Stegostoma tigrinum: one gene and its partner. The protein of the gene in region 2 purifies or fractionates together with the protein of the main gene of each other region. This does not show direct contact. Links are inferred from orthologs where the notes say so. Each region holds a gene or a part of one and is shown on either strand. Other genes may lie near its edges.

Region 1 (7,175 bases), on a different chromosome or scaffold from region 2:
AATAGGGAGGAGAGGGCAGATAGAAGATGGATAGAGGCGAAGATAGGTGGAGAGGAGACAGACAGGTCAAAGAGGTGGGGATAGAGCCAGTAAAAATGAGTGTAGGTGGGGAGTTAGGGAGGAGATAGTTCAGTCGAGGGAAGACAGACAGGTCAAGGGGGCGGGATGAGGCTGATAGGTAGGAGATGGGCATGGGACTCAAGGTGGGAGGAGGGATAGGTGGGAGAAAGGACAGGTTAGGGAGGCGGAGACGAGCTGGGCTGATCTTGGGATGCGGTAGGGGGAGGGGAAATCTTGAAGCTTGTGGTCCACATTGATACCATTGGGCTATAGGGTTCCCAAGCGGAGTATGAGTTGCTGTTCCTGCAACCTTCGGGTGGCATCGTTGTGGCACTGCAGGAGCCCCAGGATGGACATGTTGTCTGAGGAATGGGAGGGGGAGTTGAAATGGTTTGCGACTGAGAGATGCAGTTGTTTAGTATGAACTGAGCGTACGTGTTCAGCAAAGCGGTCCCAAAGCTTCTGCTTGGTTTCCCCGATGTAGAGGAGGCCACAATGGGAACAGTGGATGCAGTCTACCACATCAGCAGATGTTCAGGGAAAAGTGCCTGGTGTGGCGGGGCTGGAGGGGAGTGTGGAGCAGACAAGGGAGTCACGGAGAGAGTGGTCTCTTCGGAAAGCATACAAGGGTAGGGAGGGAAAAATCTCTTTGGCAGGGTTGGATTGCAGATGGCACAAATGTCAGTGGATGATGCGTTGATTCCGGAGGTTGGTGAGGTGGTATGTGAGGATGACAGGGATTCTGTTTTGGTTGTTATTGAGGGGAGGGGATGTGAAGGATGAGTTGCGGGCAATGCAGGAGACACGGTCGAGGGTGTTCTCGACCACTGAAGGGGCAAGTTGCTGTCCTTGAAAAACGAGGATATCTGAGATGTACAGGAGTGGAATGCCTCATCTTGGGAGCAGATGTGGCAAAGGGAAGGAGTTGGAAATAGGAGATGGCATTTTTGCAGGAAGGTGGTTGGGAGGAGGTGTATTCTGGGTAGCTGTGGGAGTCAGTGGGCTTGAAATGGATATCGTTTTCTAGGTGGTTGCCAGAGATGGAAACAGAGAGGTCCAGGAAGGAGAGAGAGGTATTAGAAATGGTCCAGGTGAACTTAAGATTGCAGTGGAAGGTGTTGGTGAAGTGAATGAACTGTTCAAGCTTCTCGTGGGAGCACGGGGTGGTGCCAATCATCAGTCATCAATGTAACGGAGGAAGAGGTGTGGAATAGGGCCAGTGTACCTTCGGAAGAGGGATTGTTCCACGTATCCTAAGAGGCAGGCATAGCTTGTGCCCATGCGGGTACCCATGGCCACCCCCTTTGTCTGTAGGAAGTGGGATGAATTGAAAGAGAATTTGTTGAGGGTGAGGACGAGTTTGGCTAATGATGATGTCAGCCTTCCTGCTCCTCTGATACTGCTTGGCCTGCTGTGTTCATCCAGCTCTACATCTTGTTATCTCAGATTCTCCAGCATCTGCAGTTCCTACCATCTCAGGAGCAAAACATACCCAGTTTCTCAGAATATCCAGCAAGTCTGTCAGAACTGTGGGTTCTCCCCCTCTGCTAACGTCAAAGGAACCGCTGATGATGAGATGGACATGGCCGAGGTCACAGCCTTGAAGCCATTACTGCCTGAAGATGAATTTCAGATGAAATGCTCCAGGCACAAGAAGGGGGCTACGGTCCAGTACATGTTGCTCATGTCAGATTCAGAGGAACTGGACCTGGTGCAAAAACACTCCAGAAGAAACTGCTGGAAGAAAAGGGTGCCTATGTCCTAGGCCTTAGATGGACAGGGATGTTGTGACTGGAGCAAGGTCAGCCAGGTGGACCTCACAGAATATGAGTTCCCCGATTGGGGCTGTTAACCTGGTCCAATAGGAAATTCTAGCCGATAAATATAAACAAGTGCATCAAGGGTTCTGTTCACGCTGGCAGCCAGTTCTATGCTTGTTGGGTAAGTGTCATGTACAATGCACATGTAAGTAAAGGGTGACTTGGCGATGGGATACTGGCCTTTGTGGAGTTATTTGAAGGACCATTTCTATTAATTTAGGGCATCCTAATCCCTCTCTATAAAATTTAGTTACTTACTTTTGTCAGTATCATAGCAGTCATTTTTCACATCACCACATGTCAGAAGGAACAGGGAGATGAATGACTACTTGGAAAAAAAATTATGCTGTTTGAAAAATGTTGGCCAGCATCACTGGGACTCATTTTATAAGGGAAAAAAAACACTTCGCGAACTTTACCATCCACCTAAAGAGAAGACAGTTCCTCAATAAAATGTCTGCCACAGGATGGTAGATCCAACAGCTTCAGTCTGGATAATGCACTAAGGTCCTGGAGTATGCTCTAAACCCACAATCTATTTGCAAACATATTAGATTAGAATTCCTACAGCATGGGGGCAGGCCTTTCAGCCCAACAAGTCCACACTGCCCCTTGAAGCATCCCACCCAGACCCATCCCCCTATAACCCACACAATGGACAATTTTGTGTGGCCAATCCACATAGCCTGCACATCTTTGGACTGTGGGAGGAAACCGGAGCAGCTGGAGGAAACCCACGCAGACATGGGGAGAATGTGCAAACTCCACACAGACAGTTGCCCAAGGCTAGAATCGAATCTGGGTCCCTGGCACTGGGAGGCTGCAGTGCTAACCACTGAGCCACTGTGCCACCTGTTGGTATTTCTGTCCGATATATCTGTCAGTATTTCTCCATTTCTGAAGAAGGGTCGAACCATCAGCCTTCCTGCTCTTCTGATGCTGCTTGGCCTGCTGTGGTCATCCAGCTCTACACCTTGTTATCTCAGATTTTCCAACATCTGCAGTTCCTACTATCTCTGTCAATATTTCACAGTAGCTTTTACATTTTTATGCCCGGTGTTTGTATCAGACATCCATGTGATCGAAAAGCAAATCAGTGCTACTCAACCTGTTTTGCTTTTGGCATTCTGCCATACATACATTAGAACAGTAGCCGCTCCATTCTCACTCATCTACTATGGCAATAGTAGGAGTGGTTGTGATCTGTCCCAGGACAGGACGCTTGCTAATTTTGTCACACCTCTCTCTTTCCTCTTTGGCCTCTTGTAAGAGTCTTCCCCTTTCAATTTAATCCCCCTTCAATTTGAATGATCATTATGACAAGAGGAGGAGTGTTTCATGAATCCAGGTATGCGTTTCAGGAAACGTGACCTCATCCTGATCTTCTACCTGTGAGTAGCCATTCTCCCTCGAGTCTTTGGACCTTGAACCAAAATATATACTGACCGCATTGTTGCCTGTAGGTCCTACCACTGAGCGTGAGACCTTTACCTGGGCCGAGGGTGACTCTCAAAAAGGCAGGAAGATAACCTGCTGAAGTTTCTAATAACCTGGGCAATTTAGCAAATAACATGATGGTGGGTGCTGAAAGGAGGGAAAGCAAAGAAAACTTCTGTCGTGACAGCATTCAAATACATCTTCCCATTCATTAGGGTAATGTGCTTTTCCAGGAGTAAAGAGAGGTGGTAAAATAGGTGATTAAAATTAAGCAGCAAAGTTTTTTTTCAAAAACCGAAAGAACTGCGGATGCAGTAAATCTGAGACAAGGATAGAAATTGCTGGAAAAGCTCGGTTGGTTTGGCAGTATCTGCGGAGAGAAATCAGAGTTAACATTTCGGGTCGAGTGACCCATCCTGAAAACCCAGATGCTGCAAACTTATCGAGCTATTCCAGCAACTTCTATTTTTTTTCATTTGTTTTTGGATAGTAGAAGTAAAGTGTAGGGCGGAATGTATTACGGTAGCGTTGCCATTTCATAATTCCAGCCCACGCCCTCTAACTGTGACAAAACTTCAACCAAGGAGAATAAAAGGCGACTGTAGCCAGTGGAGATAACATGCGATTGTGAAACGAATAGGTAGTAATGATTTGTCAATTATTACTGTTAATCAGCTCTGAATCAGAAGTGTAGCCGTCACAAAAACTACGAGTACAACTAGTAACATACAACGTAAATGGTTGTAGTAAAAATAAACGGAGGAAAAAAAGCTTAAGGTCGGAATCCAGAAGTGTGACTGTGTCTTTAAATTTCCTGGCTGAATGGTGTGGTTCCAGCCAATTGTAGAGAAGGTGTAGAATGCTGGGAATGTTAAGTCAAGCCTGGCTGGGATAAGCTGAATGGTGAAGGAGTGAGGAGGGATTCCCGAGGTAAAAAAAAAACCCGGTTTTTATTTTGTGCTCGGTTTCCACACCCCCCCCCCCCCCCCCCCCGGCAAAGTGTCAAGGGGATCACCGCATTCGGGTTCAATGCGGCTATTGCCGGGTCTGTCTTAAGCAGCAGAATCCTGATGTGGCACATAGCTGAAGGGGGTTTAATATTTTGTGTTTGGTGTGTAATGTGAGGAGACAGATGCATTGATTGGAGGTGAGCGACTGGCTTTCATTATTGCAGCTACAAGGGGAAGGCGAGACGTCTTTTGTAAATAAAGGCAGCGGAAACGTGACATTTTCTGTGCTTTAAATATAAATTCACCAGCGTTTCAGTCCGTATTTTTTTTCAGCAGAAGGCCTCGAAATGCCATTTATATTAGACATACTGTGAATGCAATACTGAGCCAAAATGAGTACAGCAAACGCCCATTGTCAGAATAAATGGTTAGACAGAACGGTGTCTTTAATGTTTCTGGGATCGCCGTTATTAAATTTTTTTTTGCTGCTTGTTTGCTTTTGAGACAAAAAAACATCGCATTTGCTTAAAAGTAACTAAGGTTTAATGAAGGTATTGATTTCTAGGCGGTTTCCTGGGCACAGCCCTCTCCATCTACAGTCTGTAGAATCTGCTGCCTTTGCTTAACCTAGTAAAGTGGATGGTGGGGGATATTCAGATTGACATCTCATAGTGAATTCAGCAAGTTAAAATTTAGAAATCTCGAATTGTTTTGGCCAGTCAACGAGATCGGGGTTGGACCGTGTTAAGTTTGGCTGTAATTTCGGTTTCAGGCGAGCCGTCTGTTTTTTGGGGAGATTTGAAAAAAAGGGACATTGCAGACAATATTGGTCTTTAACCCATTGAAGATTTTTCCTGTAGCAACGTTTTATGAACTGTTATTTTCCATACAATCGATACTTGAATTATTTCAAACATGCCTTTGGGCATATGACATGTCAAATCAAATGAGTTTCCTTTTGTATAAGGTAGTCGCTGTTTTGCTTTGAAATATTTCAGGTCTATTTTTGAGTGTTTCACTGGCGTGTGAAAATCTTGTGATGCTAGAACTATGGTTGGTAGTCTCTAAGAGGCATTGCATCAAATCACTCATTGGTTGCATACAAATAATTTGAATTGTAATTCTCTGAAAATGTCTCCTTTTAAAAAAAAATGCTTTCAAACAGCCTAAGGACTGGTAGAAATGGTTTCAGTTTCAATTGTGAAACCTGTTGGCATTAGTAGTCCACAGCATTATTGTGTGCTACACAATGCTGCAAGTGTGGTACCTTAGAAATGTTGATACCAAAACCACTTGAAAGTAAGGTTATTTGCGTTGTCATGATTGCGTGCAGTTTTTTCATGTGCTGGGATCTGGATTTGAATCCATTTGTGGTAGGTAAAATAGAAATCTCTCTTTATATTTTCAGGCTTTTATTGCTTTTCATTTGATCAATTCTATTGTTGTCTGTACTCACGTGTTCACAACCTACAACCTACAACCTGTGCTAATTGTACTCAGTGGAAACCTTAGGATGCTAGAGGTGGAACAGTGGGACTAGGTCCCATGCTAAATAACTTGTATCTAAGTGATTGTAACCTGATATTGAAATAGTTAATTTTGGATAGGCGAGCAAAAGGGGGAAAACAAATCAATATCCCATCATTTTCTTTTAAGCCGAAAAATCACAAAATGAAAAAGAATGCATAATCTAACACAACTCTACATCTATCTGTAACCAAGGCAACATGGCATGCAGTGCTGTCACAGCCTGACATATTGTTCTTGAAAATTGCATTGGTGAGTTGACACCTTTTGCCATGGAATTTGAAGTCCTTTTTAAAGGACAAAATACTACAATGTATAAAAAAGTTACTTTTTATTTTTTAAAAAAGCAAAGAAATATATAAAATTAATGATAGAACCTCTTGTCAGTAAACTTTGCAACTCTAACCAATATTACTGATTATCAACACAATCAGATGTTGCCAGGATTGCAGGGTTTCCCTTTTTGGGAAAGGCTTAAGAGGCTCAGTTTTTTCCCCCAGATTGTTGGAGGCTGACGGTGACCTTAGCGGTTTATAAAATTGAGGGGTATGGATAGAGTGAGTAGCCAAGGTCTTTTCCACAGGGTAGGGGGAATTGAAAATTAGAAAGCATAGGTTTGAGGTGAGAAGGGAAAGATTTTAAAAAGGAACTGAGTGGGACTTTTTTATGCAGAGGGTGAGGGAATGAGCTGCCAGAGGTGGCGGTCGAGGTGGGTACAGTTACAACTTTTACAGGACATTTGGTTAAGTACATGAGTAAGAAATGTGTGGAGGGAAATGGGTAAGTGCAGGCAGGTGGGACATGTTTGTTTTGGGATTATGGTTGGAGTGGACTTTGGACCAAAGGGTCTGTTTCCATGCTGTATGACTCTGATGTATGAAAATGTTTTATGACAAATTCACTGACGTTACAGAAATATTTTGAGGTGAATACAGGTAATGTCTACTGTAATCACATTGTACTGTGGAAATTTGCGCATGTAACTTTTATTTGCACAGTGATCTGAATTGGGATGTATTGTTCATGAGAAATCTTGAAATGAAGCTGCAAGTATTTTTCACAGTGAAAGAGGACAAACCCTTTAGGCTGAATTGCCTAAAATGGCATGATGGAGGCCAAGGAGCATGTTATCAACTCCTATAGAAATAACAAATGGTAGAGGAATATTTACGGTGATTTAGGAAGAAATAAGTGACCAAAGTGGGAGACTTTAGAGCAAACTAAGTGTGTGTTGCCTTACATTTTTAATGCTACATATAGTAAGTCAAGTATTTTTGTTCACTGTATGTTTTTACCTGCTTCTCATGGATGAATGGCTGATATCCATTTATTTTGGATGTGTTTTTAAAACTTGTATCCCAGATTGTTGGTTAAGTAAAAG
Region 2 (7,683 bases):
GAGGATGAGGAGAAGGTTCGGAAATAAATAGGGAGAGAGGGGGAGGCAGATCGAAGATGGATAGAGGAGAAGATAGGTAGAGAGGAGAGTATAGGTGGGGAGGGGATAGGTCAGTCCGGGGAGGACGGACAGGTCAAGGAAGTTAGTAGGTTGGAAATGGAGGTGCGACTTGAGGTGGGAGGAGGGGATGGGTGAGAGGAAGAACAGGTTAGGGAGGCGGGGATGAGCTGGGCTGGTTTTGGGATGCCGTGGGGGGAGGGGGGGGGTAGATTTTGAAGTTTGTGAAGTCCACATTCATACCATTGGGCTGCAGGGTTCCCAAGCGGAATAGGAGTTGCTGTTCCTGCAACCTTCGGGTGGCATCATTATGGCACTGCCTACACTGGCCCCAAACCCCACCTCTTTCTCCGTTACATTGATGACTGTATTGGCATCACCTCTTGCTCCCAAGAGGAGCTCGAACAGTTCATCCACTTCAACACCTTCCACCTCAACCTCAAGTTCACTTGGGCCATCTCCAACACATCCCTCACCTTCCTGGACCTCTCTATCTACATCTCAGACAACCAGCTCAAAACCGATGTCCATTTCATGCCCACCGACTCCCACAGCTACCTAGAACACACCTCCTCCCACCCACCCTCCTGCATAAATTCATCCCCTATTCTCAATTCCTTCGCCTCCGCCGCACCTGCTCCCAGGATGAGACATTCCACTCCCGAACATCCCAGATATCCACATTCTTCAAGGACCGCAACTTCCCACCCGCAGTGGTCGAGGACGCCCTCAACCGTATCTCCCGCATTTGCCGCAACACATCCCTCACAACCCACCCCCGCAATAACCGCCCAAAGAAAATCCCCCTAGTCATCACATACCACCCTACCAACCTCCAGATACAACGCATCATCTTCCAAATCTTCTGCCATCTACAATCCCACCCCACCACCCAAGACATTTTTCCATCCCCACCCTTGTCCGCCTTCCGAAGAGACCACTCTCTCCGGGACTCCCTTGTCCGCTCCACACTCCCCTCCAACCCCACCACACCCAGCACCTTCCCCTGCAACCGCACAAAGTCCTACACTTGCCCCCACACCTCCTACTTCACCCCCATCCCAGGCCCCAAGATGACTTTCCATATCAAGCAGATGTTCACCTGCACATCTGCCGATGTGGTATACTGCATCCACTGTACCCAATGTGGCTTCCTCTACATCAGGGAAACCAAGTGGAGGCTTGGGGACCGCTTTGCAGAACACCTCCACACAGTTCACAATAATCAATTGCACCTCCCAGTCGCAAACCATTGTAACTCCCCCTCCCATTCCCTAGATGACATGTCCATCATGGGCCTCCTAAAGTGCCATAATGTTGCCACCTGAAGGTTGCAGGAACAGCAACTCATATTCCGCTTGGAACCCTGCAGCCCAATGGTATCACTGTGGACTTCACAAGCATCAAAATCTCCCCTTCCCCCACTGCATCCCAAAACCAGCCCAGCTCGTTCCCACGTCCCTAACCTGTTCTTCCTCTCACCTATCCCCTCCTCCCAACTCAAGCCGCACCTCCATTTCCTACCTATTAACCTCATCCCACCTCTTTGACCTGTCCATCCTCCCCGGACTGACTTATCCCCTCCCCACCTATACTCTCCTCTCTACCTATCTTCTCCTCTATCCATCTTCGGTCTGCCTCCCCCTATTTATTTCCGAACCTTCTCCTCATCCTCCTCTCTGATGAAGGATCTAGGCCCGAAACGTCAGCTTTTGTGCTGCTGAGATGCTGCTTGGCCTGCTGTGTTCATCCAGCTTCACACTTTGTTGTCTCAAATTTATGCTCATTATGTGTGGCAGATAGCGAAACTTCACGGTGCTACTTCTCTCTGCTGGCATATCTAAGTCACTTATTTGAAATGCTGATATTAAAAACCTGGAGCTGACTCCAAGCACAGTTTTAACAGAAGTAAACTACCTAATCATGTCTTTGGCCTGCTGGGTTTCATCATAACTTCGACACAACCTCAGGCCACCCCTAGCTAAGTGACTATTCAAGAGAATTAAGTACTTGCATCCAATACAATATTGTGGGAAGCAGCGTGCGCGCGCGCAGAAGGGGAACCGCCAGAGAGGAATGAAATTGAAGATGAATAACAAGCTTCGTATGTCTAGCATTGGTAGCTCCAAGATTTTAATTAGGATCGGTCATACGCTACCTGATTTATAAAAAAACACAAGAATTATCAGGTAGAGACGACTTCCTGCCGAAGAAGGCCTGAGCTAGATCGCTGGATTAAAGAACTCCCAACGTGATATCCTTCATCGTCCATTTTTTTTCATAGAACTACAGAACGGTGAAAACATTTGAAAACCAATGCACACACATGCACCTGGGGTAGGGTATCTGATTGACAAGTAATCAGAACAAAACAGACTATAAGCCCTGGCCTTTCGATCCATCAAATTCGGTTCGAATTAGCAAAGGTCGGCTTTAAAATGAAGTGTAAAACAAAACAAGTAGCAGATATGGGAGCGCAAGTCAGCCCCATTAAAGCATCTTCTGCGTTCTCACTGAGGGAGGGGAAGCGATAAATGTGTAAAAATTCTTACTTTAACATTGCTTCTTCCTTCTGCTCCTCCTCCCGCTGCCTCTGCAGCACGGCCATAATGATGCTCCTCTCCTCCTCCGTCAAATGGCTCAGGTCCGGCAACTCGGCCGGCACGCCCGGCGGCCGAGGACTGCGGGGGCCGAGCGATGCTGACATTTTCACCGGAGTGCCAGTCCAGCGCCGTCCCCTGGGGACATGGGCAAGAAGAGGGACACGTACAGCCAGATCCTGGCTGCTTGTGGTCAGTGAGCAGCGGCTGTACGCCGAGACAGCGCCGCTTAACTCACCGCTCGTCGCTGAGCGCTCAGCATCGTCTGCAGAACAGCCGCGCCCTCGGTCACAGCACCACCTCCACAAGCTTTATTTCTCCACCATCCGCTCTAACTGCTGTTCAGCCCAGCTTCAGCTGCTCCGCCCCGCCACTGACGCAAGAAAGCGTATGGAAGGAAGGGGGTGGAATTTCTCAGTTTATGCCCGAGATCAGAGATGCTACAGAGGGGACCCAGAACAGAGGGTATTGAAGCGGAGTAGGAAAACACAGCGCATCCACTCCCATCACATTGGGAAAATTGCAACTCGGCAACAAGGGTCTTGTGTGGCGGTGGACATTCTCAATAAAGTAGAGACTGTGCTAAAGTTACTGGAGACATCAAACGTTCCCTCCCATCCCACTTTCAACTTAAACCACAACTTAACCCCGAGCTCCTCCACACCAGCTTGCTTTTTATTTGTTAAATATTTGTCTTGAATTTTAATTTCTACTTTTAAGTTGTTAATCCATTGAAATTTGCGAGCTTTTCAACACAACTGACACACTATGTTTGCATTTTCTCATACCAAATGCTTTTAAATCGCTAGATTTATCAAGAAGGATAATACCCAAAACGTTGCCTGCTCCTTTCCTCGAGCCGCTGCCTTGGCTTGCTGTGTTCTTCCAGCCTCCGGTTTGTATATCATTACCCTAAATGTGCGAGGTCCCGCTCCGTAACGTTTCCTTCCACCCCCCCTTCCTTCGTCTTGTTTCTACAGCCCTTCAATGCCTGCAGTTCAATGGTGTATATATAGTACTCATAAGTGTAGATCGAATACATTATGTCCCCTCAATACACCTTTTACATTGTTATACCATGTAGGCAATTTCAATTTGCACTCTAATTGATAGATAGATTAATAGTTGATTGCTCGTATCAATGTTTTGTGCACTACAATTTTGATCAACATGTTCCTTTAATATTTCCCCAGTGGAAATATTGTTTGTTATTTAAAATTCAAAGCAAATTTGAATATCCAGCTTAGCCCTACATACATACATTAAAATCTGGAACGAAAGTCGGCACTTCAAGAGCCTTGATATGATATAAATTAGATACAATAATTTTTCAGGGGATTATGTACAATCAAGATATGAATTTGGTCGTTTCAGCCTTGTAGCCCGAAGAGCAGTAAATAGGGTCCTTACAAACTTACATGAATTTCCCACTTCCCATTCAGTGGTATTGCATGGTGATTTCAAATATCTTTTGTTCAGTTATATAGAGTCAACATACAGTGATGTTTTGTAACTAACTGAAACTTGCAATTCATAAAAATTAAATGTGGAATGTTTATATATTATATATAAAAATTGAATGGTATTCTATTTGTGAGTTGATTATGGCTTCCTGACTTAGGAGTTATGACTGTTTTTAATACAATCATGCTTCTGTTAGTTCTCATCTCTTAGGTTTGCTGTGATTGAAATAAATCTCTCCTACAAGTACTCAATCTCAAAAAGACTTGAAAACGAAATAATGGAGTCCAAAATGACCAGTGCAGTGCTGTTACTTTGGAGGTGGTAGGATTTCTCCAATAAAATGCCTGGTGAAAAGAATGACTTATTATTTTCCCTTCTGAAATTAAATTGTTCAAATGCTATTTTCCTTATTGTGTAGAATCACTGAATTGGCGTTGCATCAACTTACTCTTGAAAAGTATTTGAATACATCACCTTTATTCATCACACTAATAGTTGCAGAGAAGGGGAGGAGTGGATTGGGAGGCAGATACTAGAAAGGTGCAGAAGTCACAGGATTGTAGTCATGGGTGATTTCAACTTTCGAAATACTGCTTGCAAACTTTTAGGTTGTAATAGTTTAGATGGAGCAGATTTTGTCCAGTGCGTATATGGAGGATTCCTGACACAGTATGTAGATAGACCAACATGAGGAGAGGCCACTTCAGATTTGGTGCTTGGCAATAAACCGGACTGAGTGTTAAACCTGTTGTTAGAAGAGCATTTTGGCGGCAGCGATCATATCTCTGTTACTTTTACAATAGCCATGGAAAAGAATAAGTACATACAGCAGGGTAAGGCTTATAATTGGGGAAAGGGTAATTATAATTCTGACAGGCAAGAACTGGGTAACATAAAAAAGGAACAGATGCTGTCAGGGAAGAGCACTATACAAATGTGGAGATTGTTTAAGGATTGCATACTGCGTGTGCATGACATGTTTGCCCCTAGCAAGCAGGGAAGATGTGGTCAAGTGAGAGAGCCTTGGTTCTCAAGAGAGGTCGAACGACTGGTTGAGAGGAAGAAGGTCTCAGGCTTAGCAAACAAGGATTGGAAACGGCTCTAGAGGGATACAAGTTGGCCAGGAAGGAGCTGAAGAAAAGGCTTACAAGATCTATTAAGGGTGCATGAAAAAACCTTGGCACATCTCCACTGGAGTCGTACCTGAGGACTGGAGAGAGGCAAATGTAATTCCTCTCTTCAAGAAAGGAAATAGGGAAATCCCCGGCAATTGTAGACCGGTAAGTCTCACGTCTGTCGTCTGCAAGGTGTTAGAAAGGATTCTGAAGGATAAGATTTATGACCATCTGGAAGAGCATGGCTTGATCAAATACAGTCAACACGGCTTTGTGAGGGGTAGGTCATGCCTTACAAACCTTATCGAGTTTTTTGAGGATGTGACTAGAAAAGTTGATGAGGGTCGAGCTGTGGATGTGGTGTATATGGACTTCAGTAAGGCATTTGATAAGGTTCCCCATGGTAGGCTCATTCAGAAGGTCAGGAGGAATGGGATACAGGGGAACTTAGCTGCTTGGATACAGAATTGGCTGGCCAACAGAAGACAGCGAGTGGTAGTAGAAGGAAAATATTCTGCCTGGAAGTCAGTGGTGAGTGGAGTTCCACAGGGCTCTGTCCTTGGGCCTCTACTGTTTGTAATTTTTATTAATGACTTGGATGAGGGGATTGAAGGATGGGTCAGCACGTTTGCAGACGACACAAAGGTCGGAGGTGTCGTTGACAGTGTAGAGGGCTGTTGTAGGCTGCAGCGGGACATTGACAGGATGCAGAGATGGGCTGAGAGGTGGCAGATGGAGTTCAACCTGGATAAATGCGAGGTGATGCATTTTGGAAGGTCGAATTTGAAAGCTGAGTACAGGATTAAGGATAGGATTCTTGGCAGCGTGGAGGAACAGAGGGATCTTGGTGTGCAGATACATAGATCCCTTAAAATGGCCACCCAAGTGGACAGGGTTGTTAAGAAAGCATATGGTGTTTTGGCTTTCATTAACAGGGGGATTGAGTTTAAGAGTCGTGAGATCTTGTTGCAGCTCTATAAAACTTTGGTTAGACCGCACTTGGAATACTGCGTCCAGTTCTGGGCGCCCTATTATAGGAAAGATGTGGATGCTTTGGAGAGGGTTCAGAGGAGGTTTACCAGGATGCTGCCTGGACTGGAGGGCTTATCTTATGAAGAGAGGTTGACTGAGCTCGGTCTCTTTTCATTGGAGAAAAGGAGGAGGAGAGGGGACCTAATTGAGGTATACAAGATAATGAGAGGCATAGATAGAGTTGATAGCCAGAGACTATTTCCCAGGGCAGAAATGGCTAGCACGAGGGGTCATAGTTTTAAGCTGGTTGGTGGAAAGTATAGAGGGGATGTCAGAGGCAGGTTCTTTATGCAGAGAGTTGTGAGAGCATGGAATGCGTTGCCAGCAGCAGTTGTGGAAGCAAGGTCATTGGGGTCATTTAAGAGACTGCTGGACATGTATATGGTCATAGAAATTTGAGGGTGCATCCATGAGGATCAATGGTCGGCACAACATTGTGGGCTGAAGGGCCTGTTCTGTGCTGTACTGTTCTATGTTCTATGTTCTATAGGATCAAGGAAAACCCCAAGGCTTTTTACATATACATGAGGAATAAGAGAATGACCAAAGAAAGTGTAGGGTTGATCAACGATTGTAAAGGGAATTTGTGCACAGAGGCTAAAGAGATAGGAGAGATCTTAATGAATACTTTTCTTTGGCATTCACAACTGAGAGGTATCAAGTTGTAGGAAAGGACAGTGTTAAACAGGCTGGTAGGCTAGAGGAGGTGGATGTTAGTAAGGAAGGTGTACTAGGAATTTTGAGGAACTTGAAGATAGATAAGTCCCCCATGCCTAATAGGGTTTATCCAAGGATTCTATGGAAAGCGAAGGAAGAGATCGCACGGCCTTTGGTTATGATCTTTTCATCCTCACTGTCCACGGGTATGGCTCCGGAAAATTGGAGAGTGGAAAACATCATTTCCTTCTTCAAAAAAGGGAATAGGGTTAACCCCAGAAATTACAGGCCAGTTAGTCTTACTTCAGTGGTGGGCAAATTATTGGAAAGGGCTCTGAGAGATAGGATTTATGATCACTTGGATAGGCATAGTTTGATTCGTGATGGTCAACATGCATTTGAGGGGGGTAGATCGTGCCTCACAAACCTTATTGAATTCTTTGAAGAGGTGACCAAACACATGGATAAAGGTAGAGCAGTGGATGTGATGTACATGGATTTAAGTAAGGTGTTTGATAAGGTTCCCCAAGGTAAGCTCATGCAGTAAGTAAGGAGGCATGGGATAAGGGAAATGTGGCAGATTGGATTCAGGATTGGCTGACCCTTAGAAGACAAAAGGTGGTAGTGGACTGAAAATATTCAACTTGGTGCTCAGTTACGTGTGGTGTACCACAAGGTCTGGGTCCTCTTCTATTTGTGATTTTTGTAAATGATTTGGATGTAGGAGTGGAAGGGTAGATTAGTAAGTTCGCAGACAA

What was found.
Region 1: the proteins of regulating synaptic membrane exocytosis protein 1-like (region 2) and ERC protein 2 purify together in Homo sapiens (affinity purification with western blotting; 3 studies listed by BioGRID and IntAct, with this or other methods). This does not show direct contact. The link is inferred for Stegostoma tigrinum from reciprocal best matches to the Homo sapiens genes RIMS1 and ERC2.

The regions. Positions count from the first base shown.
Region 1 is NC_081364.1:32,337,954-32,345,128, reverse strand, and holds the start of ERC protein 2, read left to right. Parts: upstream 1-4,167; 5' UTR 4,168-4,247; intron 4,248-4,357; exon of another isoform or gene 4,358-4,464; intron 4,465-7,175. UniProt on the Homo sapiens protein: Thought to be involved in the organization of the cytomatrix at the nerve terminals active zone (CAZ) which regulates neurotransmitter release. Seems to act together with BSN. May recruit liprin-alpha proteins to the CAZ.
Region 2 is NC_081357.1:82,286,993-82,294,675, forward strand, and holds the start of regulating synaptic membrane exocytosis protein 1-like, read right to left. Parts: upstream 3,015-7,683; 5' UTR 2,765-3,014; coding exon 2,610-2,764; intron 1-2,609. UniProt on the Homo sapiens protein: Rab effector involved in exocytosis. May act as scaffold protein that regulates neurotransmitter release at the active zone.